Alligator mississippiensis: one gene and its partner. The protein of the gene in region 1 purifies or fractionates together with the protein of each later gene. This does not show direct contact. Links are inferred from orthologs where the notes say so. Each region holds a gene or a part of one and is shown on either strand. Other genes may lie near its edges.

The links.
Region 2: the proteins of NPM3 (region 1) and NEPRO purify together in Homo sapiens (affinity purification with mass spectrometry; 4 studies listed by BioGRID and IntAct, with this or other methods). This does not show direct contact. The link is inferred for Alligator mississippiensis from reciprocal best matches to the Homo sapiens genes NPM3 and RMP64.

Annotation. Positions count from the first base shown.
Region 1 is NC_081829.1:100,263,222-100,277,712, reverse strand, and holds NPM3 (nucleoplasmin-3), read left to right. Parts: upstream 1-8,636; 5' UTR 8,637-8,683; coding exon 8,684-8,759; intron 8,760-8,900; coding exon 8,901-8,989; intron 8,990-9,304; coding exon 9,305-9,424; intron 9,425-9,529; coding exon 9,530-9,623; intron 9,624-9,744; coding exon 9,745-9,839; 3' UTR 9,840-9,841; intron 9,842-9,924; 3' UTR 9,925-10,243; downstream 10,244-14,491. Other genes in the region: OGA (protein O-GlcNAcase), read left to right, coding at 66-202. UniProt on the Homo sapiens protein: Plays a role in the regulation of diverse cellular processes such as ribosome biogenesis, chromatin remodeling or protein chaperoning. Modulates the histone chaperone function and the RNA-binding activity of nucleolar phosphoprotein B23/NPM.
Region 2 is NC_081824.1:247,524,525-247,540,274, reverse strand, and holds the start of NEPRO (nucleolus and neural progenitor protein), read left to right. Parts: upstream 1-9,645; 5' UTR 9,646-9,664; coding exon 9,665-9,764; intron 9,765-10,886; coding exon 10,887-11,041; intron 11,042-12,257; coding exon 12,258-12,334; intron 12,335-12,423; coding exon 12,424-12,555; intron 12,556-12,912; coding exon 12,913-12,990; intron 12,991-14,529; coding exon 14,530-14,888; intron 14,889-15,694; coding exon 15,695-15,750. Other genes in the region: protein spire homolog 1, read right to left, coding at 791-856, 1,118-1,243, 3,231-3,395, 4,031-4,062, 7,595-7,835. UniProt on the Homo sapiens protein: May play a role in cortex development as part of the Notch signaling pathway. Downstream of Notch may repress the expression of proneural genes and inhibit neuronal differentiation thereby maintaining neural progenitors.

The DNA of each region.
Region 1 (14,491 bases):
TTTGCAGAGTCTGCGCTTGTTATTACAATAACGCTTCTCCTCCGGCCTCTCTCTCGTCCTTTCAGGCTCCCGTGGGGCTTTTTGTGAAGTGAGGCCAGATGATAAAAGAATCCTGGAATTTTACAGCAAGCTGGGCTGCTTTGAAATAGCTAAAATGGAAGGGTTTCCAAAGGACGTCGTTATCCTCGGGAGAAGCCTGTGATGTGCACGACCACGAACTGCTCTAATCCCATCATCCCCTAACGGTTAGGCACGTGGTGGTGGGGATCTTCATATGGTCTGGCTGCACAAAGGCAGGAGCCAGCCGGCGTGGTAGCAGGGGCTATGTGAAAATCACCCATCACACGTTCGGGCTTCGACTCGTTGCTGCTGAAAACCCTGGCTTGAAAAAGAAACTGTGTCCTCTCCTGGTGTCGTGCGAAGTGCCAAGGAGCCTCGCGTGGGCTGCGGCTGCTTGCCCCACGACGTGGCTGGTTGGTGGCAGTACTCTGTATCCAAGCATGCGATCGACAGCGACAGTTTATATCTGGAGCTACAGTTCCTCCTTCTCCCGCTCGGAGCTTAGAGCGAGGTGTGAAGGAAGAAGGGTGAAAGCGGGGTTCTTACCAGTGTAGTCAGCACATTTCAAGGCAAGTAGCGACAGTTGTGGTATTGGTTATCTCTTCTCGTTAAAGAACCACCGTTGTTACTTCTAACGACCATCGGTTCAAGCTCTGTAGGGACACGTGGCCTGCGGCAAAAGTCACTTGAGGACAGGCATGTACATTTCCGTGTATATAAACTCGCTGTAGGCTGATTAACTTTTTTGTTTACTGGTTTTGTAACTCGTTTTCTTTTTGAGATGTGAAATGGTATTGGTCCGAGACGGCACTTTGTCAATGACGTAGAACCACAGCGGAGAGAGAATCTGTCTTCAACGCTGGCCTTTCCAACTGTGCCTCATGCCCGGAGCTAGAAACGGACCCGCTTGGGATCCAGAAAGATGGCGACTTCAGAGGGCAGCTTCCGCTAGCAAAGCGGCCGCTGCCTGAGGCTGTCGTTTGCGGGGTGGCTTGCTGAGCTGGACATACTAGTGGCAGTCGCACAGAATCGGTAGATGGGGCAGGGGGAGCTGGGCCAGGGGCAGGATTTGTCCTCCAAGTCTCCCTCTGTTTCAAAGCCTCTTCACACCGGTGTTTGACTAAATCAGGGTCTCCAAATCCTGCACGTTTGTATGAGACTCTTTTTTTTTTAGAAGAAATGCCACAATAAGCACATTTTTACCGGTTCTTACAAGGGTTCCCAAGGTTTAACGTAACCGTGGGTGTTCTAGGCAGTCAGTGTTTTTACCCAGACCTGCTGTATTTGACTAATGTGGTGGAGTCGGCATGGTGACAGGGTCTGGTAGTGAGGTAGTTCCACCATTTGTGGAGTGATTTGATATTTCGTACAAGCCTGCGTCTCTCAGAAGTACTCAGCCAGCAATACTCGCCTGCAGGACCTTACTGCTTTCATCTGCTACTCTGGGCTGTGTTGAACATCGTCCTTTTTTAAAAAACTTTCCTCTCATTTTGGTCGTGAAATAAAGGAATTCAGGTCCTTATTTATGCTCCCAGCTAGGCTTTGAAGGGGTTTTACAAGCTCTGATGAATGGCATTAGACTCCAGGAAGGAGCAGCTACTGTTTGGCCTTCCAGTGCAGTCACGCACAGGCTCATTTGCAAACAGTGAACAATTTTTTTTTTCTTCAATTATTATTTTTTAACGTGATAGCGAAGTATTTCAGTTGAAACAAGCTCATTTCATTTCTTTAGAGAGGGAAGTACCAGGGGTATTGGGTCTCGGGGCAGTCAGAGCTGAAGGTCCCTCGTTTCGTACAGCTTTGAGTGTGTGTAGAGTAGCCGATGCCTTGGTTCGTCAGGTGGAGCCATTCTTTTTTTTTTAATGGGTCTGCCAGAGTCAGTTTAGTACTCGATCTGGATTCATAGCATTACAGCATAGGATGCTTGTGGCCTTGTATCTTGGCTTTTAAAGAAGTTGCCACAATCTCTCTTCCTATGAATATAATGTTATAGAAGTTAGTTGTATAAACCTACGGGACGTCCGGCCAATACCATCACCCTAGGATTGTAAGGTGATACGTTGACATATCTTTCATGGTTAAGAATTTTCATTGAGGTTGGAATGCCACTTTCATTAATCTGTTTTTAGATGACCAGTATCTGTAGCAGAGAAAATGACCTGTAAAACTGTATTTGAAGACCACGCGAGAAATAGAATAAAAATTCCGAAGTGAATGTAAATGCACGGTGTGTTCGGTGTGTGGCGCTGCTCACGGGCGTGTGCGGGCACGGTCCTCTCCATCATGCGGCGGCCCTGGCCCTCCGTACGTCTGCTTTTTTCCGGTGGGGGGCGCTCCTGGCTTTCAAAGGGCACTGAAATGGTGGTCTGCCCTGTGTGAGGATGAACATGTAGGCCCACATTGCCAGCCGTGCTCAGCCCCTCACCTGCACGGATCTTCACGCAGTACTTCACTTTGAAGCCTAGACGGCTCTCACGGATAAAGTGGGCAGCCTGCCCACTTGTGGGTATAACAGCTGGCGAAAACCATGCGTTATATGATCAGCAGCACCTTCTCCCTAGCCCAGCGCAGAGACGCGCTTGGATGCTTGTTCACGCGCGGTGGAAGTGGAGGATGGAAAGCAGGCTCGCCAAGCAGTGCTCTGCGTGAACAAGTAGCCCAGCTCCTTGGGCCCTGCTGGCTGTCTCGCCCAGTGCTGCCTTTCACAGTGGCAGAGAACAGATGCGAAGAGAAAGTATCTTCAGGGCCGGTCTAGACTCCTCTTTCTGCTGCCCCTTGTCCCTTCCAGCGCTGAGGCCTGGGAAGGCTTAATTCAGAGGTCGCAGCCCTTCCATTGTGTTAATACACGTTGGACATGCCCTGCACGACGGTCTCATCCTCTTCTGACCCCGGTTGCACTGCCAGTCCCTGCAGCGTCTTGTGGCAGAGACTCCGCAAGCTGATGTGGAAACTGAAAAAACCTCCTTTGCGTTACTCAGCCTGCTCCCCAATACATTCATCAAATGCCCCTTAGGATCTGGTAGATTAAAACCCAGTCGCTTCTAATCACTGAGCCTAAAGGGTTCAAAGTACCTTGGTATCAGTTGCTTTTCCAGCACCAGGACAGGCAAGTCGGGTAAAACCTGGGGTGGGAGGGGTGACTTCTCAGCGAGGAAATAATGGAGCTTACAACATGACTCGCCCAAAGTCAAGCCGAAAATCATCGGCACCAGCTGGAGGCTCTGTGACCGGGCTGCACTGTCCCACCCAATGGGATTGTGGACACGTTCCCAAAATCATCCCAGGCACTGAGCTAGGTCTGCTCCAGGCGGGAGCCTTCTGAGCACGTAGACTCGCACCTGTCTCTCCCGCGTAGTTCTGTGGTTCCAGGAAGAGTGACGGCAGGATCCGTGCAGGAGGAAGCAGGTCTGTTATTGAGCTGATCTCGTTCGCAGTGGCCGGGGTCAGGAACTCCTCCAGTGGCTTGGAAGGCTTCGTCTGGACTCAGACCACAGCACACATCACAGCTAGGTTTTCCCCACCACCTGCTCATTTAATTTATCCAAGCAGCACTGGCCCTGAGCTTCATCTGGCGTGCAGAAAGGACCCTTTCCTGTACCGACTTGCCTGGCTTAGCTCAGCCTACCGTATTTCCTTGCAGACAGCATGCCCTGAAATAAGATGCACAACTTGTTTTGGGTCTTTCCTGAGTAGCTGCAGAGAGGGAGCTGAGCCTGCTCCTTGTTGGGCTCTCCTGCAGGCCTTGCCTCTCCTTCCCTTACTGTATTTCTTCACGTGTGAAGGGCGTTCTAGTTGCAGCAGTTTTTGAGGGGAAGGTGTTGTATGCAAGGCAATGCAGGCAATAGCAGCGCAGTCCTTGCCCTCCAAGATGCTAGCGATGGTCATCAATGAGGCTGACTTCCTTACACTGTGCCCTTCCATTGGCAGTGGTGCCAGGCAGCGCAGACGGGCTCGAGAGCCCTGTCAGAATTGCCAGCATTGAGGCATGGCCCCATTTCTCTCCAGTCGTGGTTGCCCCCGGCCTCTTTGTAAGGCCACAAGCCCCAGTGACCCGTTGGAAGGGGGAAGTGCTTGAGCCCCGTAGAGCAGCCCCGGTGACCCTCCCCAAGGCCCCACACCGAGCTGACTGGGAAGCAGCGGATCCTGTTTTGAAGCGTGGCTGCTGCTTTGGAGGAAGATGACTGAGAGGCTGAGGGACCTGGGCTGCTTTAGTCTGCAGAAGAGAAGACGGAGGGGGATTGAATAGCAGCCTTCACCTCCCTGCAGGGCGGCTGCGAAGAGGATGGAGCTGGGCTGGTCTCAGTGGGGGCAGATACAAGACAAGGAGCAATGGGCTCCAGCTGCAGCAAGGGAAGTTGAGGTTGGATACTAGGAAAAACTTTCTCACTAGGAGGCCAGTAAAGACTGGAACAGGCTCCCCAGAGAGGTGGGGGAACCTGCATCCTTGGAGATTTTGAAGCCTGTGGCTGGATGATGCAGGTGGAGCTGGTCCTGCTTGGAGCAGGGGTTGGATAGATGACTCCTGAGGTCCCTTCACCCTCGTTGCCCTTGATCCTAGGATGGACAAGGTCTTTCTGAGGGCAATTCAAGCACAAATCCCTCCTGAGCCCTGTTTAGCGTTGGTCAGCCTGCACCTTGGCCCTGTCCGGTCCCCCCCAGGGCCTGTCTTACCAGGGAGACAGTGCAGTTCAGGCTGGTTTTAACAGAGCTGAACCAGTGCAAAGGACTAAGCGTGCATCATGGCTGCAGTGGCTTAAACTGGGCCTTTCACTGTCAGGAAGAAGCCACTTGAGGCCTCGTGCATCGATTTATCCGGTCAGCTTTGTCCCCTCAGTTAAACCTGGGGTGCCTTTCTCATGAGAGCCACCCCATACGGTCCCCTGCTCAAACTCCAGGCGGCTCCTGGGAACCGCAGGCAGCACTGGCAGTGAGGACCCTGTTTATCCTGCGTTTGGTCCCAAAGATTTGTGCCCCTATTAGCTCCTTGGAGCAGGTTGTTCCCTCGAGCACCTGCCTCATCAACCCTCCAAATCACTCGTGAAGTCCTTGAATTCATCCAGCGCAGGGTGGCAAAGGCCGGCAGCAAGGCAGCAGCCCTGGACTTCAGGAGGGCGGATTTCATTCAGCTAAAGAGGCTAGTCGGGGAGGCACTGAGGTCCTGGAGGGGAGGGAAGTCTGACACGAGTGATCGTTCCTGAAGGAGACGATCCTCCAAGCCCAAAGGAAGGTAATCCCAACACAGATCAAAGCGGGCAAGAGTGCTCAAAAGCCCCCATGGCTCACCAAAAGCATCCGGGAACATCTCAAAGCTAAGAAGGAGGCGTACACCCGATGGAAGAGAGGGGCCATTGCCAGGGAGGACTACATCTCGGGGGCTCGGGGCTCGGGGCGGTCAGGAAGGCCAAGGCAGAGATGGGACTGGGACTAGCAACACGGATCAAGGACAACAAGAACTCCTTTTTTAAATATATAGAGGGTAAAAAGAAGGTACTGGGTAATGTGGGGCCTCTGCAGGGCATGCTAGGAAATCTGGTGGTCTCACCAGACAGCAAAGCTAACCTATTTAACAATTTCTTTGGCTCCATTTTTCTGAGCAGGGGCAGGGACATCCCCCACACTGGGACCCCTGATGGACCCAGGGGAGGCACAGCCAGGCCCAGGGTCAGTGAGGACCTAGTCGGGGAACTCCTGGAGGGGCTGGACGTGTTCAAATCAGCAGGTCCTGCCGATCTCCACCCCAGGGTGCCGAGGGAATTGCAGAGGTCACTGTGGGACCCCAGCACGGCTCTACGAACACTGGTGGTGCTCTGGTGAGGTGCCGGAGGACTGGAAAAGGGCCAGTGTGGTCCCCATTTTCAAAAAAGGGAGGAAGGAGGACCCAGGAAACTACAGGCCTGTTAGTCTTACCTTGGTCCTGGGGAAGCTCTTTGAGAAAATTATTTGGGAGCACATCTGTGAGGGACCAGCAGGGAGATCATGCTCAGGGGCAACGAACACGGTTCATTCAAGGCAGGTCCTGTCAGACCAACCCGGTGGCCTTCTATGACCAGGTCACACAATCCCTGGATGCAGGTGTTGCGGTGGACATAGTCTTTCTGGACTTCAGGAAGGCCTTCGACACGGTCTCTCACCCCATTCTCATTAAAAAACACTCGGGGACTGTGGCGTCGACACCTACGCAGTCAGATGGGTCACTAACTGGCTGGAGGGCCGCACCCAGAGGGTGGTGGTGGACGGGTCTTATTTGACCTGAAAGGCTGTGGGCAGCGGGGTCCCCCAGGGCTCGGTCCTCGGGCCTGCACTGTTCAACATCTCCATCAGCGACTTGGACGAGGGGGTGAAAAGCACCTTGTTCAAATTCGCAGACGACACTAAGATGTGGGGGGAGGTGGGCACGCTAGAAGGGAGGGACAGGCTGCAATCGGACCTGGACAGGTTACAGGGGTGGGCGGATGAGAACAGGATGGGTTCAACACTGACCAGTGCAAAGTGCTGCACCTGGGGAGGAAGAGCCAGCAGCAGACCTACAGGCTGGGGAACTCCCTTCTCGTCAGTGCAGAGGCAGAAAAGGATCTTGGGGTCATCATTGATGCCAGAATGAACACGGGCCGACAGTGTGGGGACGTGGTCAGGAAGGCCAACCGCACCTTGTCGTGCATCCACAGATGCATCTCGAGCAGGTCCAAGGAGGTAATCCTCCCCCTCTAAGCGGCACTGGTCAGGCCCCAGCTGGAGTACTGCATCCAGCTCTGGGTGTCGCACTTCAGGAGGGATGTGGACAGCATGGAGAGGGTCCAGAGGAGGCCACCCGCATGGTCAGGGGCAGCAGGGCAGGCCCTACAGGGAGAGGCAACGGGACCTGAACCTGTTCAGCCTCCCCCAGAGAAGGCTGAGGGGATCTGGTGGCCTGTTACAAACCAGTCAGGGGGACCAGCAGGCACTGGGGGAGTCCCCGTTCCCCCAAGCACTCCCAGGAGTGACTAGAAATACTGGTCACAAGCTGGCAGAGGGTAGATTCAGACTAGACATCAGGAGGCGCGACTTCACTGTCAGGGCGGCTAGGAACTGGAACCAACTTCCAAGAGAAGTGGTGCCGGCTCCAACCCTGGGGGGCTTTAAGAGGAGACTAGATAGACACCTAGCCGGGGTCGTTTGACCCCAGCACTCTTTCCTGCCATGGCAGGGGGTCGGACTGGATGATCTGCTCAGGTCTCTTCCGACCCGACCAACTATGAAACTGTGAATTCGGGGGTGCCACAGTAAATACCTCCCAGGCACCTGGACTCACTGGGGGCAGCTAGGACTAGTTCCCTTCCTGGGGAAGACCCCCTCATGCTCCAGGTGTCCGAGTGGCGCTGGGTCGTTGTTCATGGCGGTAGCTGATTGCAAGCCAAGAGACAAAGAATTTGGGGCCTTGGTCAAAGCCTGGTGCCGCTCGTGGTGGGAGGGACGTGCGGTGGAGGCGGAGGGCGAGAGGGTGCTCACAGAGCCCGCTGTGAGGTTTTACCAGCCCCCGGCTGCTTCTGGGGCAACGTGTGCGCCCCGGCCTGGTTCGTGAGGGGGTTGAACCCTGGCTGCGGGGCTTAGGCCATGTGGGATGAGATCCCCTGTGCCTGCCCCATCTGATCCTGGCTGCTGTCAGACGGGGCTGGACTAATCGCTCCTGCCGGCCTGGTTGGATTTCACGTGGATCGAAGCGTCTCCTGTGCCCACAGGTCTGGCCGCAGTAATCAGCTGCCGCAGCCTCCCCAGACATGGCTGCATTTCGGTGAAGGGTGATCAGTTCCTAATGGTGGTCTCGATCGAGTCTGGGGCTACATGAATGCTGCTTGGTGGCAGGTTTTCCTTGAGCGGAGCGTCGCATTCTTGTCCGCTCTCCTGATCATCCCGAAGGCCGGCAGCACCCGGCACTGCCGCGACACAACCAGGCACTCCTCTTGCAAGCGTGAGTAGCTCCTTGCTCTCTCCCTCCGTGCTGAGTTACCCGGATCTCTGCTCCATGCCGGGAAGGGGACTGGGGCGTACAGAGGGGACCCCACCATCCCATCTGAACCGGAGTGCGCGGAGGTCCAGTCGGTGGGAGCGTGTCCCTTTGCGGGGTCTCGGAGCAGACCCCGGCACGTTCGTCTCCCCCACGCCGGTGGGGCATCCCCCCGGTTTGGTCTCATCCTGTGTAGAAACGCGTCCTGCTGGACAGGTGAGCGAGGCGGCCGAGCCCGGACCCCCAGACCCTGCCTTGCCCCGCTGCAGGCGCCGGGGCGGTTTGAAGGGAGACAGGAGCCAGATGCACCCCGTCCCTCCCTCCCTCTCCCCGGCTCGTCCTGCCCCTGCCCTCCACCCACCCCCCTGCTGCCTGCGCTGCCGCCCTGGCCCGAGGTGGGAAGGAGAGCCTGGTCTCGGGGATCCGGCGGGAAGCTCCTGGGATCCTCCCCGCCCGGGCGGGCGGGCCGGGCTTCGCACGCACCGGGGTCCCGCGGGGGACGGCCCGCTCCGCGCTCCCGGCACGGCCGCTGCGGGCGGGGAGGAGCCGGAGCCGGAGCCGGGCCGGCCAGGCGGAGCTTCAGCCCCTTCCTTCCTTCCTTCCTGCCTCCCTCCGTCCCTCCCACGGTGCTCGGCGCTGCACATGGCCGCCTTCCTGGAGCGGCAGAGCCGCGAGTGGCGCCCGCCCGGCCCGCCCGACCCCGAGGGCGGCCTCTTCGGTGCGTGGGGAGGGGTCCCGGGGATCCCGCGGGGGGCCCAGCAGCGCCCGTGCAAGGGGGGGTCTCTGGGTCTGCCTCCCTCCCCCCCCCCCCCCGGGCCCGGGGTCTGTGGCTTTGCTCGCTGACCCCCGTGCTCCCCAGGCTGCGCCCTGACCGGCAGCGCCCGGTCCTTCACCTTCGTGGCGGACGAGGAGGACGAGGACTGCGAGCATCTCCTGACCCTGTCCACGGTAAGAGGGCCGGGGTTGTGGCAGCCCGCAGCCCCTCCTCCCACCCAGCCCGTGCCCCCTCGCCGGGCGGCAACACGCGATCGCACACGCGGGTGCCCGTATGCGGATGTCACACACGTGTGCGTGTGTGCTGATCCCACACGCGGCAGCATCCGTCGGGGCAGCGGAGACAAACCTCCGCCCGCAGCTCCCCTGCTCGGAGCCGCCCCGGGGGTCCCGGCGGTGCCCGCGGGTTGCGGTCGCCCAGGCGGTGTCTCCAGCCGTGTCCTGCCCCGTGGCAGCTGCCCCCAATGCTGCCCCTCTGCTCCCTCCCAGGTCTCCCTGGGGGCCGGAGCCGTGGACGAGTGCAACGTGGTGGAAGTGGTCGGACGCGACTGCGACGACCGGGAGATCGCCGTGCCCGTGGCCAACCTGAAGCTGTCGTGCCAGCCCTCGGTAAGGCGCCCGGGCGGGCGGGGGGACAGCGTGCAAGCGCCGTGGCGCGGCCGAGCCAGACCCCAGCCCTGCTCTGACTCCCCTCCTCCCACGGCCTCTTTGCAGCTGAGTTTGGACGGCTTCACGCTGCACCCTCCCGTCACCTTCCGCCTGGCCGCCGGCTCCGGCCCCGTGCACCTGGCCGGGCAGCACCGTGTCGGTAAGGGGGGGGCGGGTGCCCCTGAGCGGGGGCTGCCGGCTGCAGGGGGGTGGGGGCAGCTTGTCTGGCTATCCCTCCCAGCACCGGCTGCTGGTGCTGACGGCCCGTCCGTGCACCCCAGTGCCCAGCACCAGTCTGTCCGATGAGGACGAGTCCAGCGAGGAGGAGGAGATCGCGCCCATCATGCCAGCGAAGAAACAGTGCCGGAGGCTGTAGAGGTGAGGGCTGCTTTGGAGATCGGCGGGGGGCTGCGCTGCGGGGACTCCCACCCCAGTCTCACCTCTGCCTCTCTCTCCCCCAGGTGCTGCTCCGGTTCCGGTTCCGGCTTCGGCTTCCCCACCCCGGGGCTGGGGCCTGGCTGCAGGGAAGAGCCCCCGGGGATGGGCCGAGATCCCTGCCCTGGCACAGGCCAGGGGGGCTGCGCTCCCGGGACCAACGCCGGGACCCTGGTGCCTGACGCCAGGGGTGGGTGTGGGAGCGTCCCCCTCCTCCGGGCTCCCTGCAGTCCTGCCTGGGGCCAGGCTCTGTGCTCAGTGCGGCCTTGCCCCCCCCGGCCCGTGGGGAAGCTCTGGGGGGCTCTTGGGGTGTATCCAGGTAAAGAGTCATCACTGCCTTCCCAAGCTCCTGGCTGTGTCTTGTCTGCGCCCGCTCCTCCCTGCCCCGGGGCCGTCCATGGGGGCTTTTGGGGGACTGGGAAATCTCAAGCTCCGCACTGGAGCTGGGCCCTGAGAGGTAGAGGTGTTGCGGGGGCTTGACCTCTGACCCCTGGGTCTCCCCCAGCCCAGCCAAGGCTCTGGGGCAGGCCCCAGCCCAGAGTCCAGGGCAGTGGGGACCAGCGGGGTTGGCTGCTGAGCATTCGCCCCCCGCGGGGTTCCCTGCTGGGGCCTGGAGATGACCAAGAGCCAGGGGCCAGTGTGGCACCATTGCATCCAGCCCAGGGGGCTGCTGTTCCCCTTGCACGTGCAGGGAAACTGAGGCACAGGGCAGGAGCCAAGCAGGCCCAGGCCTGGTGTGGGGCTGGCCTGGGGGAATCTGTCCCTCCAGGGCCACGGCTGCCTGGCCTGGCTCCAGTGCTGCAGTTCCCCCGTGGGCCGCCAGGTGGCAGCCCGGCCACGCCGTGCCCGGGGATGCTCCGCGTGGTACCTGCCCCGTGGCTCCGGCATCCCGCGTCCCCTCCGCCCCGGGGTCAAGCTGCAGCAGCGAGCGCAGGCCTGGATGCCAGAGCCAGCTGCCAGGGCAGAGCTGTGTCTCCCTGCCAGGTGTGGAGCAAGAGCTGGGCCAGCTCCGGGACGCGCAGCCCTCTGCCCCCGTCACCTGGGGGGGGGCACTGGGGATGGGCGGCATCAGGAAGGGGAGACCCGGCATGCAGCACTCGTGGCTTGGACCTGCTGTGGCCCTGCTGCAGGGGGGCACACGGGTGCAGGGGTGGTGTGTGAGGTGCATGCATATATTGCATGTGGGTGCAGGGTGTGTGTGTGTGTGTGCACATGTGAACATGGTTGTGGGGGGAGGCAGAGTTCACAGATGCAAGGGTGTGCAAGGTGGGGGGGCAGGGGTGTATGTGCCTGTGCACAGGTGCACATATGCCCAGGGGTGTGTGCGAGTGCAGGGTCATGTGTGCACACAGGGCTGCGTGGATGTGTTGGGGTGTGCATGTGTCCTTGTCCCCCTCCCTGTGCAGCCACGAGGCAGGCTCTGTGGGGCACCTGACCTTGGCCCCTTGTCCCCCCTGGGGGTTGAACCCTTTGGGGGGCATGAAGCGCAGGTCCCAGCCTGTTGTGGGGGCTGCAGTGCCCGACCCAGCTTTTATCCAGCTGCCACAGCTGTGGGGAAGGGGCGGAGGGGAGTGGGTGCTGCCAGGGCTCTCCTCTCAGGCCCACCTGTCTCCAGTGCCCTCCTGGCAAGGGACCCCCTCGTGGCTCCATCACTCATGCCCCTGGGCGTCTCACAGGCACGGCCACCCCAGCAGGGCGTACACAGGCTGCGCGTGCATGCATTCACAGCAGGATTTGGTGGCACACAGGTGCATACATGCCCTGTCCTTGTGTGCGTAGGTGCTAGTATAACCACTCGTGGCGGGGATGTGCCTGGGCCGTGCTGGCGGGGGCTTGGCTGCAGGGTCAGGGCCGAGCCCTGGAGGCTCACGGTGAAGCCCAGGCTGCAAGGGCGATGCAGAGGTGCTCCGGCAAGAGGTGTGACACGCTGGGGGGGGGATGCTGCACGCCTGTGCTGTGCTGTGGGGTGTCCCAGGTCCCTGGGCTGTGCTAGTTGTGCCCCCCCTTTCTGCTCCATGAGTCATTGTGGGGGGCAGGGGGCGATGCCTGGGGCTGTCGGGGCAACTGCGTCGTGTGCCTCCGAGGTCGGACACGGGGTTCGTCTGGGCTGGTTTGGACGGGGCTGATCCTGCCTCAGGCCGAGCTGGGCTGGATGTGACCCCGCGGCTCCCTGCCCCCCCCGCGGCGCTGGGACTCGGTGATTCCTTCCAAGCCGGCTGCTAGAAACTGCCTCCTGCTCCTCTGCCCCGTGGTGGCGAGCAGCTGGGTGGTGGTCCCAGCTAGGTGATCTGTCACGGATGAGCGGCCTGGGTGCTGCTGAGCCTGGGCCCCTCGCCTTGGCCCCGGGTGGATCCTGTTTGTCCCTGCATACGACTCGCCCCTTGGTCGTGGCAGGAGGACCGGAGGGAGCAAAGCTCGGCCCTCGCAGTAAGTCGCGGGGCTGGGGCTGCTCCAGGTTTGCCCCTTGTGTCTGGCTGCAGATCGGAGCCTGGCACCTGGGCAGGGGCAGAATCTGCTCTTACCGTATTTTCTCATTTATAACGTGCACTCGTCTCCGGCATGTTTTGCAGGGTGCTGTATGCGAGGTGGGGGGTTGTGGGTGGATGATGCTGGGATGGCACGTGGAGGGGCAGATGGGGGTGGGGGTGTGCAAAGGGGAGGGTTGTGGGAGGCTGCCAGGTGCAGCTGTGCTGCGCGTGTCAGAGGACGTGCTTATGGCAGCAAGCCGGCGTGGGTCTAGTGTGTGCGTGTGCCTCTGGCCTGGCTGCAGGAGCTGGGTGCGGATTGCAGGAGAGGAGCGAGGGTGGGGAGGATGGACTTGGGTAAGATAAAGGGTCGGGGCTGGGGGCTGCTGCCCAGCCAGGGTCCCCCATCCCCAGAGTAGCTACAGGTGTGAGCAGCTCAGCGATGGAGATGCAGGGGCAAAAGGGCGCACACACATGCACACGCATGCACGCACGAGACAAGCAGCGGGGGGTGAGGGGGAGGTCCTTCCTCTGCAGCGGGGGCATGGCCTGGGCCTGGGCTCTCTGCACGTCCAGGACCCCCCGGCAGCAGCCGGCCATTGCTGTCCACGGCCCCCTGTATCCCGGGGGCAGGGGCGGGAGCTGTTTTGGGGTGACTGTCGTGGGGCTCCAAGGTCGGATGTGGGGTTTGTCAGGGGGAGTTTGGATGGGGTTGATCCTGCCGCCGCAGGTCCCTTCCAGCTCCACTTGGCTAGGATTTCCGTGACTGCTGCCAGCCAGGCCAGAGAACCGGGGACATGGGACCAGGGCAGTTTCTTCTGCTCCCACCCTGGGGAGGAATCGCACCTGCCCCGGTGGTGGCAGAGAACAAGGAGCAATGGGCTCAGGCTGCAGCAAGAGAAGTTGAGGTTGGGTATTAGGAAGGACTCTTTCCCTAGGAGGAAGGTGAAGCACTGGAGCAGGCTCCCCAGAGCGGTGGTGGCATCTCCATCCTTGGAGGTGTCGAAGACCCAGGTAGACAGAGCCATGGCTGGGATGATGTAGCTGGGGCTGGTCCTGCTTGGAGCAGGGGGTTGGACCCGACGTGACCTGAGCTCCCTGCCACCCTTGCAGGGCTCAGGCCCACCTGTGCCGCTCCTGCGGCCATCTCCGCATTGGAGACCCCTGGCCCACAACAGGGTTTTGCCCACCTCCGATGGCAGCAGACAGGTGGGGGGCTTGGGGCCTCCCCTCCGTGGCCTGGGGGGCTCCAGCTCCCCCTCCCCGCACCCTCCTGCACTTGGGTCTTCTCCGCGGTAGAGCCAAGTCCCGCAGCCCCCGGCTTCCTCCAGCCCCCCACCGCGCACAGGGCTTGGGGAGGGCTGGGGGGGGGTTGGTCCTGGCTTGATTTGCCGTCCGGGGCTGTTTGCAGCGGGGTGGGCGCGTGGGGGCAGCGGGTGTGGATTAGCGTGTGCTGGGGGGAGGGCCGGGCCCCGCGGTGTTTGCACTGGTGTCTACCCCTGAAACTCTCCTTAATCCTCTTAATGTCTCGCACTGGCAGGGCCCACCTCGCACCTTCCACCCCAATCCACATGAGCCCAGCGCCGCCCGCTCGCTCCCTCCTCCCAGCTCCGACCTGCAGCTCTTTTTGCCTCCGAGCCCCTTTTGGGGGGTGATGTGTTGCGGGTGGGGAAACTGAGGCACGGGGTGGCGAGGTGACCAGACCAAGGCCACCTGGCAGGTCAGTGGCAGAGCTAGGAGTGTCCTCCAGGGGCTGGTGTCTCAGCTGGTGCAGCCGCCTGCCCCTGGCTCCAGGCTGGCTCGGGCTTTGCTGGTCCAGGGGCCTGGCCTCTAGCCCCGGCAGTGACCTCTGGCCTGGGGGAAGATCTGGGGGGACATGTTGTTCCCTCAACCCCCCCCAAGCCCAGGCCCCCGTGTCAGGACTTTCCCTTTGCCCCCTGATACCCCCTTGGTCCTGCCCAGGGGGTCACGGGGGCACCTGTATGCCGTGGCCAGCGGCTTGGGGTGTTTGTGGCAACGCCCGGGATTTCTTCCTTGTACCCCCCCTGCGCCCGTCTGCTGCGGCCCCTGCGCCGGGACTGTCTGTGCCCCCCAGGGCCGGGGCCGGGGCCGAGCCGGCTGCGCGCAG
Region 2 (15,750 bases), on another chromosome or scaffold:
AGTGAATGCTATTTAGACAAAGGGAGTCCACGAGTCTCTTGGGTGGGTTGGGGGTGGGGGGCGGGATCAGGGGGAAAAGTGTGTACTGTTACTGTCTCCACAGACTCCAGACTCCAGCACATTGGTTTATACTGGCTAACCTCCAGCCAGAAGAGCTATTTGTTTTTGGCAGAGCACCGAAGGCACTGAGCCTTGGCTGGGACAGAATAACTCATTTTCTTTGCTCCAACAAGCATGTAGTTCAAGAACTAGGAGATGAGACCATAGGAGCTATGGTAAAGTAATCACGCAATCTATGTCCATCCTGAACTTTTCTGCCTGGAAGCCTCCTCCCATCATTGTTTTTACACCTATGATCAGTGCAAACAGTTGGAGCCTACCGGCCTTGAGCCACCTTGATATGCAAACCTATTCACAGCGTGTCTGAGGGACATAGCAGCTGATCTATACTAGCTTCCCCAGCATTGCTCAGACTGAAATATCTTGAAGTAGCTGCTCACGTGCATGCTTAGTGTCTTTGGAAGTAGATTAAGTGACACTAGAAATAACTATCTTGCATTAGTGTCCATGCAAGGAGTTTATGGGAACAAATTGACATTTTAAATTCACACCCTGGCTTTTCATGCAATAGTTTCCCCTTGTTTACAAGCCCTTAGCTTCCTGAGTTAGAGGGTTTTTCTTTTAAATGGTTTTATCTGTATATTCAGATCAATATTCTATGGAAAAAAGTCACTGGAAGGCCTCACACAAGGGTTATAAAAACAAACAAACCAAAAATCTAAATCCTTACCCAGCAATTTGCCTTCTTCTGGGAAGGATTTTCCAGCAAAGCTACCACATCCATTCTTTTCAGACTCTGTCAAGCAAATACATGACCTGATCATTAGCCTGCACTGCATCCAGTCATTCCCATCTATCCAGTCTGTCACTGAATTGCCAGCTTTCACATTTAAAATTCTTGGAAGACAGAAGTAATTCATAAGATTAATTTGCTAAAGCTTTTAAGAAACACACACTTCCCATTTTTAAAAAAAATATATAACTTCAGCTAAATAACCCTCCTCCAGGGGAAAAAGAATTCGGAGTTAAGGAACAGATAGTGATGGTCCCAAGATACCTCTTTGGAGTTCTGGATGGTAAATGTGAGTTGCTGAAAATCCATGTAGTCAGCAAAGAGAGCCCTAGAGATTGTTCTGTAATGGCTGGAGGCCTCCGAGGGCAAGGACACATGCTCCTCACAGATCTGCAAGACAATGCAGCAATTGATGGTTTTAGAGAAAGTTCTCCCCAAAACAAAGAATTAGGAGGACTGTGCTACCCAAGTAGCCATACATACTTGTGTTCCTGCTATATTCTTTCTAATAAGACCCTTTACTTCTGCTGAGAGTGAAGGAAAACACAACCACCAAACCACAGTTCCAATTTTGAACAATTTATAAGACAGGTGCTATACGCATTTTATTATCTTGTTTTCCATATGTTGGACCTTTAGCTAACTGCCTGCAGCAGGGGCTTTCAACCTTTTTAAATAAGTGCACCCCAGTGGCTGGACGCAGAGCAGAGGGGGAGGTGGCACGCAGCCAAATGTGGAGTGGTGGTGTGGAGTGGTAGCGACTGCCACCGCGTGCAAGCTTTCCTCCCCACCTCATGTCCGGCTGGCCAAGTAGCACCTGTGCGGCCCACAGAGGGGCACCACTGCCTTTGCCCTGCCCTGGCCCTGCTCCTGGGAAGTGCTGTGGGATGGTGGGTGGCAGCGCTCCATCCCCACCTGCCCACATGTACCCCCTAGGGCCTTCCCAAGTACCCCTGGGAGTATGCACACCCCCAAGTTGACAACCCCTGGTCTGCAGGAAGAGCAGCTCTTTCAAGAAGTCACAACTGAAGCTTTTTACAGAGAAAGATGTCATGCTCTCTCAGGTATTTATTTCATTTTCTTTGGTCTCAAAAGAATCCCCCCCCCGTAAGATTACAGCTATCCAATGCCTGGAACACACCAGCCAGCTGGAGAGAGACTGACTGGAGAGAGTGAACTTTCTTGAGACAGTCTAAGCTGACAAAGTGGGAGTTGCTCTCATCCAGTTCTTCAAACAACTTGAATATGCCTTGGATGAGTCACACCTTAGGTTTTCCCCTTTTGTAAACCTTGGAAGTGGGGTTGAATACTTAGAAAAAGTCTAGCATGAGAGCAATTTGGACAGTGCTTTAACTTCAAAACCCATTTCAGGCACGTTGGCTTTAGTAATACTTCTCACAGTGCCGACATGCTAAGTTCTGCTGATAGCAGTTTCCCTCATGGAGATAGGCATTTTTGTATTCAAATGCCCAGAAACAAGTTTGCAATGCTACTTTACGATTGCCTGCTCTCTAGAGGCCAGAAGCCTGGAGAAAGGATTGACATGACTAAGGTTAGCTAAAGCAAGAGTTAGTTCATGTGTTAATCTAAAGTCAGTAAAAACGCTTCCTTTGGCCTGAATGCTGCTTTGGACTCAAGGAATCCTTAATCCTTTAGGATATAGGCAGCATTGCTTAGGAGTGCCCATGTTCTGGCAAACTGTTCTTTGCAGAGCTCTCTGTGTGGCTGCACTTCTATCCACCTATCAAGCAGTAATAGTTTTAGGTAGACAAGATCTGGCATGTTGCTAGGGTCATCTCATCTACAGTGATCTTGAGGTAGGACATTTATGCTTCTTTACACCAACATACCCTGGGGGAAAAAACGTGGTGCATATGGACACCTCAAGTGGGCTGACCCCCAGGAAGTAGGAGGGTGGAGAGCATGAACCAAAAAAAAAAAAAGCAAGTTAGCAAGCCCCAGCTTCACTCCAGATATTAACAGTGTCAGCAACTAGTTGTGACTGAATTAGCAGGGTGGTTCCCCCATTGCAATTGGGAACTGAACCAGCTAATTGTGTGTGGCACTTGCAAGGGGGAAAAGGCTGGTTTTCCTGCAAGCAATAGGAAACATTTTGGGCCATACACACTGAACCCCGTAACCACAGTTGTGTCAAAGTGCAACCACTTTTCTTTCCTCCCCATCCCTGTACAATAAGATCTTCTGGAGTGCACCATTCTCACCTATTGTTATAAGGAGAGTACTAGGTGCCTATCCTCCAAGGCACTACCCAAATTTTCATAGAATGCTCTCCAACAGCTGTGAATGCCAGTACATTAGCATTTTCAACAACTGGACTATTAAAAAACAAACAAACAAATAAACAAACCCAAAAAACCTTAATGACATCCTGAAGACCGATTGCTGGTGTTGTTGCTTCAACATCTAGTTTCAGCATGAGGGAAATCAGGTTTTCCAGGGGTTTGCTCAGCTCTCGCTCCATATGGCTGTCAATGCCCCAGTCCAGGGCATTATAGATCACCATTCCCAGACACTCCAGCAGCTATGAACAGAAGCCAAGGAAGCAAGCGACCTTTCAGATCAATGTAGTAGTAGTTCAGTATTGTAAAGACAGTTCCCAGATGATACCTTCAGATTTCTAACCCAAATAACAACTCTACCCACTTTGGAGGTCATGTGTCTTCTTCACAGAAGGATAAGGTGGTCACAAGGTAATCCTGTCATTGTTGCTCAAGCTGGGTGACAAGGTATAAGAGACTAGACCAGAATCACTTATGATTACAGCGTGCTGAAGTTGTGGAAGTGTGCTGTGGCAGCAGAAATGCACCCACTTTATAAACCCTATAGGTGGCAGTATTGCCAGCTGCACCTCACCCTTTTCCCTTGCAGCATGTACATCAGGACCACTCAAGTAGTTTCATTTCTGAACTTGGCCTTGGGCCTTTCCCTGGTCAAAGAATGGAGACGAAAGTCATCTTCCTTCAGGCCCCTGGCACTCTTCAAGCACCAAGAATATTAAATGACAATTGAATCTTTTGAACATGACCCATTGTTGTAGGACAAGGCAGCTTAGATTTTTGTACCTAGAACATCTACTCAGAAAGGATTATGACTGTGCCATTCCTAGGTTGAAGTCATAGGTCCTTGACACCATCTTGACTCCAAAGAGAGACTTACCTTGTCCTCTGATTGTTGTGTCTTTTGAACATCTGAAAGGGAAACAAGTGAAAGAACATAAGTCTGTAGGGATTGTGAACGGCTTGCTCTTTTTTGTTATAAGATAAAGCCTTCACTAACCCTACTTGGTGGAGTGGCAGAACCATTAACATGTCTTGCTATAGTGCTGGAGGTGAAAGTTCAAGCCCTGCTCTGGTCTTCTGCCACAGACTGCCCCAGTTGATTCAGCTGTAAATGGGCACCTGGTCATTCAGGCTGAGAAGCCAGAAGTGGCCAGATATCATGCTGGCCATTTCATGCCCTTATATGACACTGACTACAGTAACTGGTGTGCCTTAACCACAGCAGCCCAGTGGACTGTTAGGCTTGCATGGGCCCTTGACACTGACCCAAATTTCCCTTTCCAGTATATCATGCAAGTTTGGTTTCTTGCCATTGGGAGAAGTCCTCAGACAGTTTTAACCTCCATTTTCTTGGGGGGGGGGGGGGGGGGGGAAGGGCAGGGAAGGGAATTGGATGAGAATCCAGGATCATTAGAAAACAGTGCAAGGTATGGTTTCCCTTTGATGTTCTCTGCCTCTGGATGCTTCTCAAGTAGAAATAAGAGAAAGGAGCTTCCTTTCTTTCTCTCTCAACACCCACTGCTCCCATGCAGACTACAGATACAACAGGCCTAAGTATAGTTCAGTCAGACTATATCAATGTCACAACCCAAAGCTGTGATTTGTTGTTTGTGTGCGCTTCGGCAACGCTAAATTACATTCCCGCTAAAATTGCAGCTTCTTTGCGCGCTGGAGTTTTCTGCTGCAGAGGAGAACCCTGCCATTCGTATTATACTTTGAGCCCCATTATTGGCTAGTTCTAAATTATGTACACGTGGCAGCAAGTGATTGGCTTGCTAGCCATATAAAAAGCTTCAATGGTTTCCGCCCAAGTTGGAGGACTCTACGAACATCAGGAGGAGGAGACTTCACCCTGTGTGAAGATCTCTAAGCGCTGCGGATCCTTACGGACCCAATGCATTTCTTAAGAAGGCAACAGAGGTCTGATCAGCCTCTAGCCTCTCCCTGTCGCCGATAGATTCCTAGACGTATCCCTTCCTATATACCCAATTTTCGAACCCACTCTTAACAGCTCTGGGGGACCTGGGAACCGAACCGAACCCACGGAGCTTCAGCAACTTCGTGAGGAAAGAACTGCCGAACCCACGGAGCCTAAACCACTCCGGGGCCAAAGAACCGAGTTCGTCAGAGTCCTCCAACGAGGACTCAAGCGGAGCTGCACCTGGAAAGCTGTCCAGCCTACACTGCGACCATCTTGGGTGTAAGTAAATAATCTTTTAAATCAACCACTATGCGTTCGTGACTAATTCTAGCTCGCCACCGGTTTTCTCCGACCCCGCGTGCCCGGGCTGCTGGCCACAGCCCGCGTGCGCAAAGACGGGCCATGGATCGCCCCCCCCAACTCGCACTTGGCGGCGGGATCGGGGCCCGGCCCGCACAATCAAGACTTGCTCTTTGGAAAATGGACACTTGTCTTTTGGCCACCTTTCATCCTAGCGTGGGGGAGCCACAACCCATATAGAGATTTCACAGAAAAGGCATGAGGAAAATCAACTTGCTCCAAACATTGCAGAATAAACACATGCAGAAAGTGACTAGTTATTTTTGTCAAGCATTAGTCCCTTTCCCTTCAGTGGCAATGGCATCATCCATGCATCAGTGTGCACAGGAGGCTGGACTAAGTGACTTAAAAGACCCATTCTAATCCTATGCATATATTATTACTTCTGAAGTCTAGCATTAGAAAGTAAAGAGACTGCAAAACGCAGAACAATTATGCCATCCATGGTGTCCCCTCATCCCCCTGCATAGCTTCAGATTAGGACTCACAAGTGACAGAGTGGGAGGACAAGGAGGAAGGGAATGTTCATCTGAGGATGAAGTGAGACATTCTTCATAAACCCCTTATACAAGCCATTTGTTTAGGTAACACCCCTCTAACAAAGTGATTCAATGTGTTACTATTAGAAAAGTTGATTTCTTCTATGGTAGGGCCTGGTTTAAGTTGTGGGCCCAGCTCGCTAATATCATGGCCCAATCGTGACAGGGGCCACCATACTCATGCTCAGATTGAGCCACTTCTCCCCCACACCATGCCTCTTGATTGGCAGAGGGGGCAGGTTTAATTGCAGCAGGAGATGCCTAGTTCCAAAATCCTCTGATCACTGCTGAAAAGCCCACGCCCCTCTTCCCTCCTCCCCACCCCAACTTCCCTGGAAGAGGCAGTAATTAAGACAGCCCTGGCACCAGGTAAGGGAGTCTGTTTGTTCCTCCGGGCAGGAAAACTGGGGTGCAAGGGGTTGGGGGTGCCAAAGGGCTGCCTTAGTATATGGCCCTGGCACGGGACAAAAAAAAAAAAAAGCCACCTGGAAGAGCAAATGCCATCCCCAAGTTCTCTCCTTCCTGTCCCTTTTAGAGACAGAAGTTACACATAAACCAGCTTAAGCAACCAGAAACTGGTTTAAACCTGTAACAGTTGCCCTGCTGCTAAACTTACTAAAACCTACTGCTGGCTGTGACTGTGGACTACAAGTCCCAAAGGCACCTAGAAGCAAGAAGAAAAAGTAACAAGCAACCATGCAGAGTCCTGTTGCTGTGATTCTGGACTGCAAATCCCAGAGACCTCAAGAGCAGCAGGAAGAGGAAGCGAACACCCATCCCATGCTGGCTATGTGCCAGAGAGGCGTGCTCCAGTGTACTTAACCTGTTTTGTGACACCTTCCCTCCTCCCCTAGGCTGCTAAGCTTTTGCTGCTGGCTGGGGAATTCTTGCCATCATTGCAACAAAATGCCATAATATAGCTGCTTGTTGGGGAACTCCCCAGCAAACAGGCATATTGTGGCATTTTTATTGCAAGTCACATTTTTTCGTGAAAAAAAGAAATCACTTAATTTTGTGATTTTCACAAAAAAGTGTGAAATCACAATTTGAACTAGGCCCTATCCCACAGTATTTTTTTATCCAAAGACTTCAGAAATACTTTGCAGAGAGCAATAATATTATTATAATTCACCACCACACTAAAAAAAAAAAAATTCTCATTATTACAGACAAGGGAAAAACAGCAGATGCAGCAAAAGAACTGAGAAACTGACTCCAAAGCCAACGCTCTAACCTTTGAGAAACACTGCTGCCAAGATTCCCCCCAATTAATACCCCTTCTTTCCCATTTCCCTATGGGCACCCTAGTGGGTAGGGAAAATAGAGCCCTTCACATTAGTTGCAGATTCACTGGGTTTGGAGACAACCCAAGAAATTCCAAGAGTCAGCCTGCTATTTGCAGAGAAAAATCAAGGGTTTTACTATGGAAAACAGTTCAAAGACAAAACAAACAAACAAAAAAACCCCCAACCTCCCCCACCCCCCAAAAAACCCCAAACAAAAACCAAAACCAAGCAGCAACATATTTTTGGTTATGATGGATAAAATGTTACTAGCTGATTATTTTTTTTAAGTGCAGAATAGAAACAAGAGCCCCATCAATTATCATCCTTGCCCTTACCAGATTTAGAGCACAGCAAGAAGGAAACATTGCCATTGGAATGGATGAGGATGCTTCCAGGGCCTTTTATAACTACAGTAGGAGACCATGGATGAAGCCCTTGAGCCAACTGCTTCATTTTACAGCAGCACTGAAAGCAAATGGCCCAAGCTTGCTCCTCACTTATAGGCTGTTTATAACATCTCAGGAGCTCTTCCAGAGAGACCTTAGTAACACTCCAATCACATCTCCTGTCCTCCATTTCACATGTATCACTTATTTTCTATGCACTTGCTTGTTTGTTTACCACTTGAGATGTTTTTCACCAACTCTACAGGAAGCAGCATCTTCTCCCAACAACCTTTTATGCAGTCTCCCTTTTCTTTCCTTCAGCTGTGACCATTCAGGGCAAATACCTCCTTAAAGGGACACCCTCAATTTCACCATCTGATCTGTACTTATGAATAAAGGCAGAGGGGTGGGAAAAGGGTTCTAGGAAGATTAGAAGCCCAAGTTAAAACTCATGCCTGATATTAACATCACTGACTTCATCAAGTTTATACACAGAATGTGAGTCAGATTAAACTGGGAGCATACAAGCTACTACCAAAGTAGAAGAGGCAATGTAGGATATAATTCAATTTCTGATACAGGTACCCAGTGGGAGGAAGATACCAGGAAAAATGTTGCTGAAAGACTCTGAAAAGTGAGTGGAGTGCAAGTGTGATGTGCTTACAGCAGCCTGTGCTGCGAAGCAGACCTGTAGTGCTGTTGTAGGGTCCAGGGAACATAGAAGAAGCAAGATGTGTTTGGTAGTGCTCTTGTAGTGGACCAATTCTATAGCTGGGAGAAATCCTAGACAAGTTTTTGGGCACACAAGACCCCTCTTCAGGTGTGAGAAAAACATCTTGGGAGCAGATGCCTTCTGTACAATCGTTGGGGAGTTCTGAATACTCCTCACCACTTTTTGCTGTGTTGGGTCAGCCACTACCTGCCTCCTCACAGATACTCTGATCCCAGAAGCAGTTCAGTCTAAATCTGCAATGATATGCATGAGAGAAGCGGATTGTGAGGGACAGCTTCAAGGGGACTGAGGTGCACAGGCCAGTGATCACACCCAATGCTAATAAAGTGACCCTTGGAAAGAACAATGGTCACCAGTCATGGCTCAGTTTCCTTGCCGCCTACTCAACTGGCCAAGAGATTGATTTCTCAGAGACATGGGCACGAAAACAGAAATCCAAACCTAAACTGTATAAAACTCGTCCACACGCACAGGCACAGGGCTGGGAGTCAGTAAGTTGCATCAAGCGGATTGAGGGGCCTGTGTCCTCGCCATGCAGCAGTGAGTCGGCCTGCGTATTCTCTGCTGCACACGGCTGCTTTGGAAACGTTGCCTGATTGCTAATCACCTCAGAAACGGGGGTACCGTTCAGAGGAACTCGCTTTGGCTTTTCTTGTGTTTCTCCAGATGAAATAAAAGCCCCCAGTCACCCTGGCTGCAACATGAGCTGCCACCTCTTGGCCCCATCTACCTCCAGGTACAAAGAACTGTCAGGCCTCCCACTAGAGGTGGCCAGTACCTGCCCTGCTTTGGTGGCCAGGAGGGAGCCTGGTTCATTTGATGCCACCTGCAAGGCTGAGGCGGGTTCCCTGGCTGGCGGGGTGCGTGCTTGGGGCAGGGGGCACCCTGAACAGCAGAGCTCCTGGCGGCTGCCTTACAGCGAAGGCTGCAGGGCAGGTCAGCACAGCCTGGCGGACCTCATGCAATGCCACAGGATGTAGCAGCTGATCTACCCCAGGCTAGGGCTGCCTTGAAGTAGCTGCTCATGTGTCTGGGGCCCCTGCACCCTTCCTTGGTGGGGCCCAGGCCGAGGGGCAACCGCAGACCCTGCCCTTGCCCACACTGGGCTCGCGGGGGCTTCGCACCTCCCACTGCCCGGCTATAGCAAGCCCTGCACACGCACCCCGTTCCCGAGATTCTTGGTACAGCCCGCAGGGTTCCTCCCCCGCCCCCCCAGCTCTGTTTTGGTTCCGCCCACTCATGCTTCTGGCCTCGTCGCCCCGCCCCTTTCCCCGCCCTTAGCAAATATGGCGGGGCCGGAGCTGGGGGAGGCAGTGTGGAATCGGGTAAATGTGCCGTGGCCTGCCACTAGCGCTACGGTGGCTCTGCCGGAACAGCACCCCTCAGGTAGCGAAGGGGGCTGTGTGGGGTAGGCGCGGGCGAGAGGCGGGCGCTCGGGGCACGCGGTTTCAGCTGGCTTAGCCACCGGACTCGTGACGTCACAGGCGCGCCTCTGCGTCCTGGGGTCGTGACGTCGCGCGCGCCTCTGCGTCCTGGGACTGGAAAAGCGTGTGCTGGGGCTGTGGTGTCGCGTGTGTGCGTGCATGGTAGTCAGTAGGGGGTGTTGTAGGGTACACATAGGGTGGCTAACCGTCCAGGGGTGCCCCGGAGTCCAGGAATTCAATCTAAATCTGGAGGGGACTGCTTGGAGTCACCAGGGAGATAAAATATATCGCCTTCATCAAAATAAATATGAAACATTGAATCCAATTTAGACAGTAGGCCACTGGTTCCTATAATGTAGCAGTAATGTGCATTTGCCTTCCTAACATAAAGTCTGCACACCGTCAAATGTACCAGATACGTGAGCACGTGGGCACGTTCGTGCCGTGTGGCACGGGCATGTTGGCGGTCTGGAAACCTCCCAGGATAAATTGTTCGAACGTTGGTAACCCTACAGGCACATTAGGATGTGTATGATGTACATCTTTAATGTTTATTTCCTGCTAGTGGGGTGGGAGGAGTAAGTATGTAGATTTTCCCCCTCCCCCCCCCCAAAAAAAGACTGCAAATTTTTATTGAAAAGCCATAAGCGGTTGCCCCCTCTTTCCCCAAACCCACCCACCCCTTTGTGGTTATTGTTGTATTGCTGCTCCTTTGGAGCATCCAGAGCCCAGACCCGCTGCCCTTCCTCTCTTACTTCCTTGCTCTGTCCCGCTGCATCACGCTGGTTCCCGTCTCCCAGCTAAGGGGTGTGTAGGCAGCAAAAGGCAGGAAGCGGAAAATGGCTTTTAAAAATTCCTTCTGGATTTTAAGCTGTTTCATGTGAGGGGAGATGGCAGATTGGGGTTGCAGGCTTTACTTTAGGGGATGCGTTTCTTTGGTCATTTGATTTTGGGGTGTGGACTGTTACATGATTGTGCTGTCTTAAACCATTTATTTCATGTGGAACTGCAAAACAGTAATGTGTCTCCTCCCCCCCACTCCTCTTTTCTCTCCCTCTCACCCTTACTCCCTCCACCCCTGCAGTGAGATGCCTTCCAGCAGTTAGTAAAGAGTGCTCTGCCACTCTCACATGGCTGAACAACAAAGCTGTGGATGCTGAAGGAAGAGTCCTGCATGCGATCCTTTATGTCTGCCACAGCAAAATGTCTCACCATAAAACCTACCTGGCTCTGAAACAGGTCAGCAGGGAAAATCATACCGATTCATATTATTTTGCAGTAATAGTTGATGGAATGAGCTTTCTAATAATTTTTTCTTACAACCATGTTCTGAAGAAAAAAATTGAGATCTGGGTTTTGGTAAAGTTTCATAACATTGTTCACATCCATTTTATTCTAAATGAATCTCATTCAATTAGGTTTTATTGATCCTAGATAGAGAATTTGGCTGCTGGTGAGAGATTTTACCACTCCATTTCAATGGGAACAATACAAGACACTTTCTGCTTAAGTTAAAAACCTAAATAAATACAGTAAAAGTTCTGTTATCCAGCATCCCTTGGGAACGGAGGATGCTGGATAACAAAATATGCCGGTTAATTGAGCAGCCCCGGCCACCGCTTCTCGCGCCGTGTCTGGGGTGTCCCCTCCGCCCCTCCCATGGCGGGCCCCGCGGGACAGGGTGGCGAGTCCTGCACAGCCTGTTATGCCCACGGGCTGTGGGGGCTTGGCAGCACAGGCTGCTTTGCCCTGAGCAATGGGGGCTCAGAGAAACCAGAAGTGCCACGGTGAGCACTTCTGGTTTCACTTTATCTTACAAGCCGACATACCAGTTAGTGGAGCATGCCAGCTTGTAAGATGTCAGATAACATAACTTTTACTGTAGTTCATTTTATTCGCAACTTTCAAGAAGTTCAATATAAAACATTAGATAGGACAGAACTTGTATTTCTGTTGAGAGAAGGGGGAATAATTCAAAGGTTGCCTTAAACACTGTTTCTACTAACTTGAATGTTTTTCAAAGGTGGTCTCAAAGCAACTTTCAAATGTAACAGAACATGGAATGTTTAATAACATTTTGTGGTATGGGTATGAAATACGCTGCCTGTTGCACTAACAAAACAGAGGTTGGAATCTAGATTTTCTGTTCTGATTCTTATGATTGGTTTCTCCTGAAGCTTGTTTTGCAAACTTAATTTAAGTAGCCACAATTGCAAGATGCTGCCTGGAATGTGTAGGATCAGTTGATAGTCTTTGCCTGAGTCCTATAAAGTCCACGTTCACAATAATGTCATCTAGAGATCCTCCTTGCCCTTGTGTAGATATTTGTGTGCGCCAATGGGTTTGGCACCAGGTGTGGCAGGCCTACACATCAACAATGGACAATACTGACTAATAAAGACCTATTGATTGAGAAACAAAAAAGTATTGACCAAAAGACTTGTTGGTTTTTTAGGTAGAACAAAGCTTGAAGCGTTTGAATAGGATGAACTTAGTGGGATACGTTCAAGACCTGGCAGAACTGTGTTCCAAGTAAGTGTCATTACCTCCTGTTAGACTGAATGCTACTTTTAGCCATGAAGAACTTCATGCTAAGTGTAACCACCACCCCCTCACTACAGGAAAAATAAATCTGAAAATCCTGGAGAGCATCTAGTTCCCAGCCAGCCTGTGATGGAAGTAGTAGCAGTGAAGGTCTTGGGAGGCTGTAAGTTGTTGCTGCGTCTACTGGACTGTTGTTGCAAAGCATTCCTGTATCCTTCTTAACAAACCTGGGAGCCTGGAAGTGAAAATTCTTACCAGAAAGCCAAATATGATCTGCTGCAGGCTTCTCATTGCTGATAGCATTTGATAAACGGACAAATGTTGTTTAGTTAAAAAGCCTTTGGTTACAGGCAATTGTTTTCAGATCAGCAGGTACGGACTTTGGGCTGCTGGCGAACTGCTGTTATAGCTCTAAGTAACCCCGAGTTTGAACAGTCCTTTCCTGAGTAATTGCCAGGCATAGATGGGTTTCTGAACTGCCTTGTAGGAAAGTCTCTGCTCAGTGAATTACACTGCACACTGTTTTTATTGGTTTTTTTTCTCACCTTAACAAGCTTTATTTTCAGCTTGACCATTAAACACCTATGTTTGGAAGAATTCATACTCTTGAATACTGTGGTCTCAGGATTGTTGAGCAGATTATGGTTTGTATACATTTGAAAAGATATATATTTTTACTTTTTTTAATTTTTTTTTTTTTTGTTCATCATCTGCCTGCTTTGCCCTAGTTACTTTAATCAGTACATAGTATGACACAGGCCTCGGTGCCTGTTGTCACCAAGAAATGGCAGGTGTTGAGCTAATGAATCAAGGCTTCTTCCCTCCCCTGACTTGAATGGCTCACCCTACCTGAAATCGGACAGGCTTTTACGGGATTCTCAGGAATAGGTGCTAGTGTAGATGGGGGAAGGGTTCATACTTGATGATGAAAAGATTTCTATGGCACTTATAATACCACCATGATGTTCAACTGCTGGGTTTTTCCAGTAAGTGATTTTTAACTGTCTTGTGTGGAGAATATAGTTGGTAGAATGGAGCTGTTCCTTACTAGCCCTGATTCTTCCAGTGAATCATTTTACGAAGAAATGACAAAAAGATTCAAACATAGGCTGAAAATGCTAGCATTGTTAATTAAAATATAGAGTTACTCGTGTGATATGGCATCAATGTGTATGCTAACCACTCTGTTCAGAACAGGATAGCTTTTCTTCAGGTGGCATTGAACAGAAAAGTGTATATAATGTTAAAAAGGCAGATGAACAGGCCCACTTGTACTGAATTGGAGGAGAAATGGTTTGTGGGGAAGAATTTTAATTAAAGAGCCTTGGCTTGATGTCACCTGGGAGTTTGCTCATTCCTAAAGCTTGTGAAGATCCATGAGGTGCATTATATGGGGGAAGAAGTCTCTGTAATGCAGGCTGTGGATGGTGTGTTCACAGGGTTGAATCAGTCCCAGTCTATATCCTGCATCTTCTGAAGCTCTCAGACACCTCCATCAAGTGAAGAACTAGCATTGAAAAGGGAGGTCAGGCTACTAGTCAGGAAGTACAAATGTGGGGTGCAGCAAAGGACAGGTGGCCTGAGAGCATAAAACCAGAGCCCAGAAATGCATGTGTGTTGGGGGGAAAAACATGGGAGGGGAAACCTTTGAGAACAAGGAGCAGGTACCAAATGTGAGAGTGCTTGTTTAGTGAATACTGTGGACTCCACTTATGCCTCCTAGGTAAGTGCATTATTTGTTTAGCTGCATAATGCTTCAGACCCAACTTGTTGCCTGTTGTTTATATTTGCGTAAATCACTTATGAGCATAGTACCTTTAGCCCTCCTGTCTACTTAATTGAATTCGTATTAGGTGCATAGTAATGCATGTCTGCTAGCTAACTGCTCTCCATTTAAGGGTGCCAGAAATAGTGTTAAGAGGAAGTGGGTGTCAAAAAGGCTATTAGCTTTGAAAATGAGAGTTAGCTGGTGTTGGGGTTACCGATGCCAAGGCACTGACAGTACCGGGCACATAATAAGCACTGATTGTTTACTTTCAGCCTGGATATGTTCATGTGCTGGGGTAGTACACAGCCTCTTTTGCTCCCTCAGCTTTGCATTTAATGGGGCATTTTTATATGGGCTAGACCAGCTAGTGTCTGTAGGCAGTTCATGCCCCTGTGTTTTCTGTCTGTCTCCTCAGGATTCTTTATAGATGCGTGTTACAGAGGCTTACGTCTTTATATGGGGCGTTGTCTGGGTTGCTGCAGAAGGTGTCCGAGACCCAACAGATGCCCTATGTTAAAGGGTTTACCTTCCCCTCTGAGATTGCTGAGTTTTTGGGAGTTAATCTTTCTGTAGAGATCAAGAAAAGGAAGTCTCAAATACTTACAACAAAAAAAGCAAGCAGATGGCTGAACAAAGTGTTCTCTGCAGAACCTGAGACAGCAGCCAGGCCCCGTGTAAAAGAAGCCTTGGCCATTCCAAGGGTTAAAGTGAAAATGGGTGCCCAGCGCCCCATTGACATTGGGAAGCCTGTTCTGGTGAAGAAAACCAACCAAGGTAGAGTTTTGGTATTTTGCAGGGGAAGGGGGAAAGAGGGCTCATGTTAGAAATTTGGTACTGGCTCTTTGGCCCTCCTTAACTTGCATCCTGTGGAACGCAGCAGTCACTTGTAAGGCCTAGTCCAAGGATATTTGTGTGTGATCTTGAGGTTGTCTGGTCCAAATGCATGCTAGGACCTGGGATAGCTTTGCTATTATGTAAAGCATTAACTTGTGCAGCTATGTTCCTGCTTTCTGGTGGTCTGTATTAGCTTTGAGGGGATGTGAGTAATTTGTACTTCAGAAGTACAAATGAAGGAAGCTTCCCATGGCCCTATATAATTGTTCTTTCTCATTAAATCCTCTCTATTTTAGAGAGAGGGAAAGTGAAGTGAAATGGAGCGTGTACTAGCCAAGAGCTGAGCACCAGAACCCAGTTTCTGACTCCTAGTTCTGTCCTGTAACCACAAGACACTCCTTCATCCTTGCAGTGGGTCCCAAGCATCAAAGCATTTTATGGGGTTTTTACCCATCTAGTTTTTGGGGTTTTTTTTCAATTTTGTCCTGTGCATCTACCTGGCAGATGTGTATAAGTCTTTCTCACCTGCCTTTCTGCTTTTTGGATTGATTGCCTGCTGGCAATTGCTGAGCATGGATGCAAACCAGGGTCTGTTAGCTTGTGACCCAGTGGTCCTGCATGGCAGCGCAGCACACTGAACACCCCAGCTGGGGTGAAGTTCTGCAGTGCAGTTCTGGAAAGAACTTGCCCAAATATTTTTTTTTCCCATTTTAAGTGATGGTTTTTCTTTTCTCTCCCCAATTCAGGGAAACAGCTGGGATTTGATGTCAAGACCTTCTGCAGACAACTGAAAGCCCAAGTC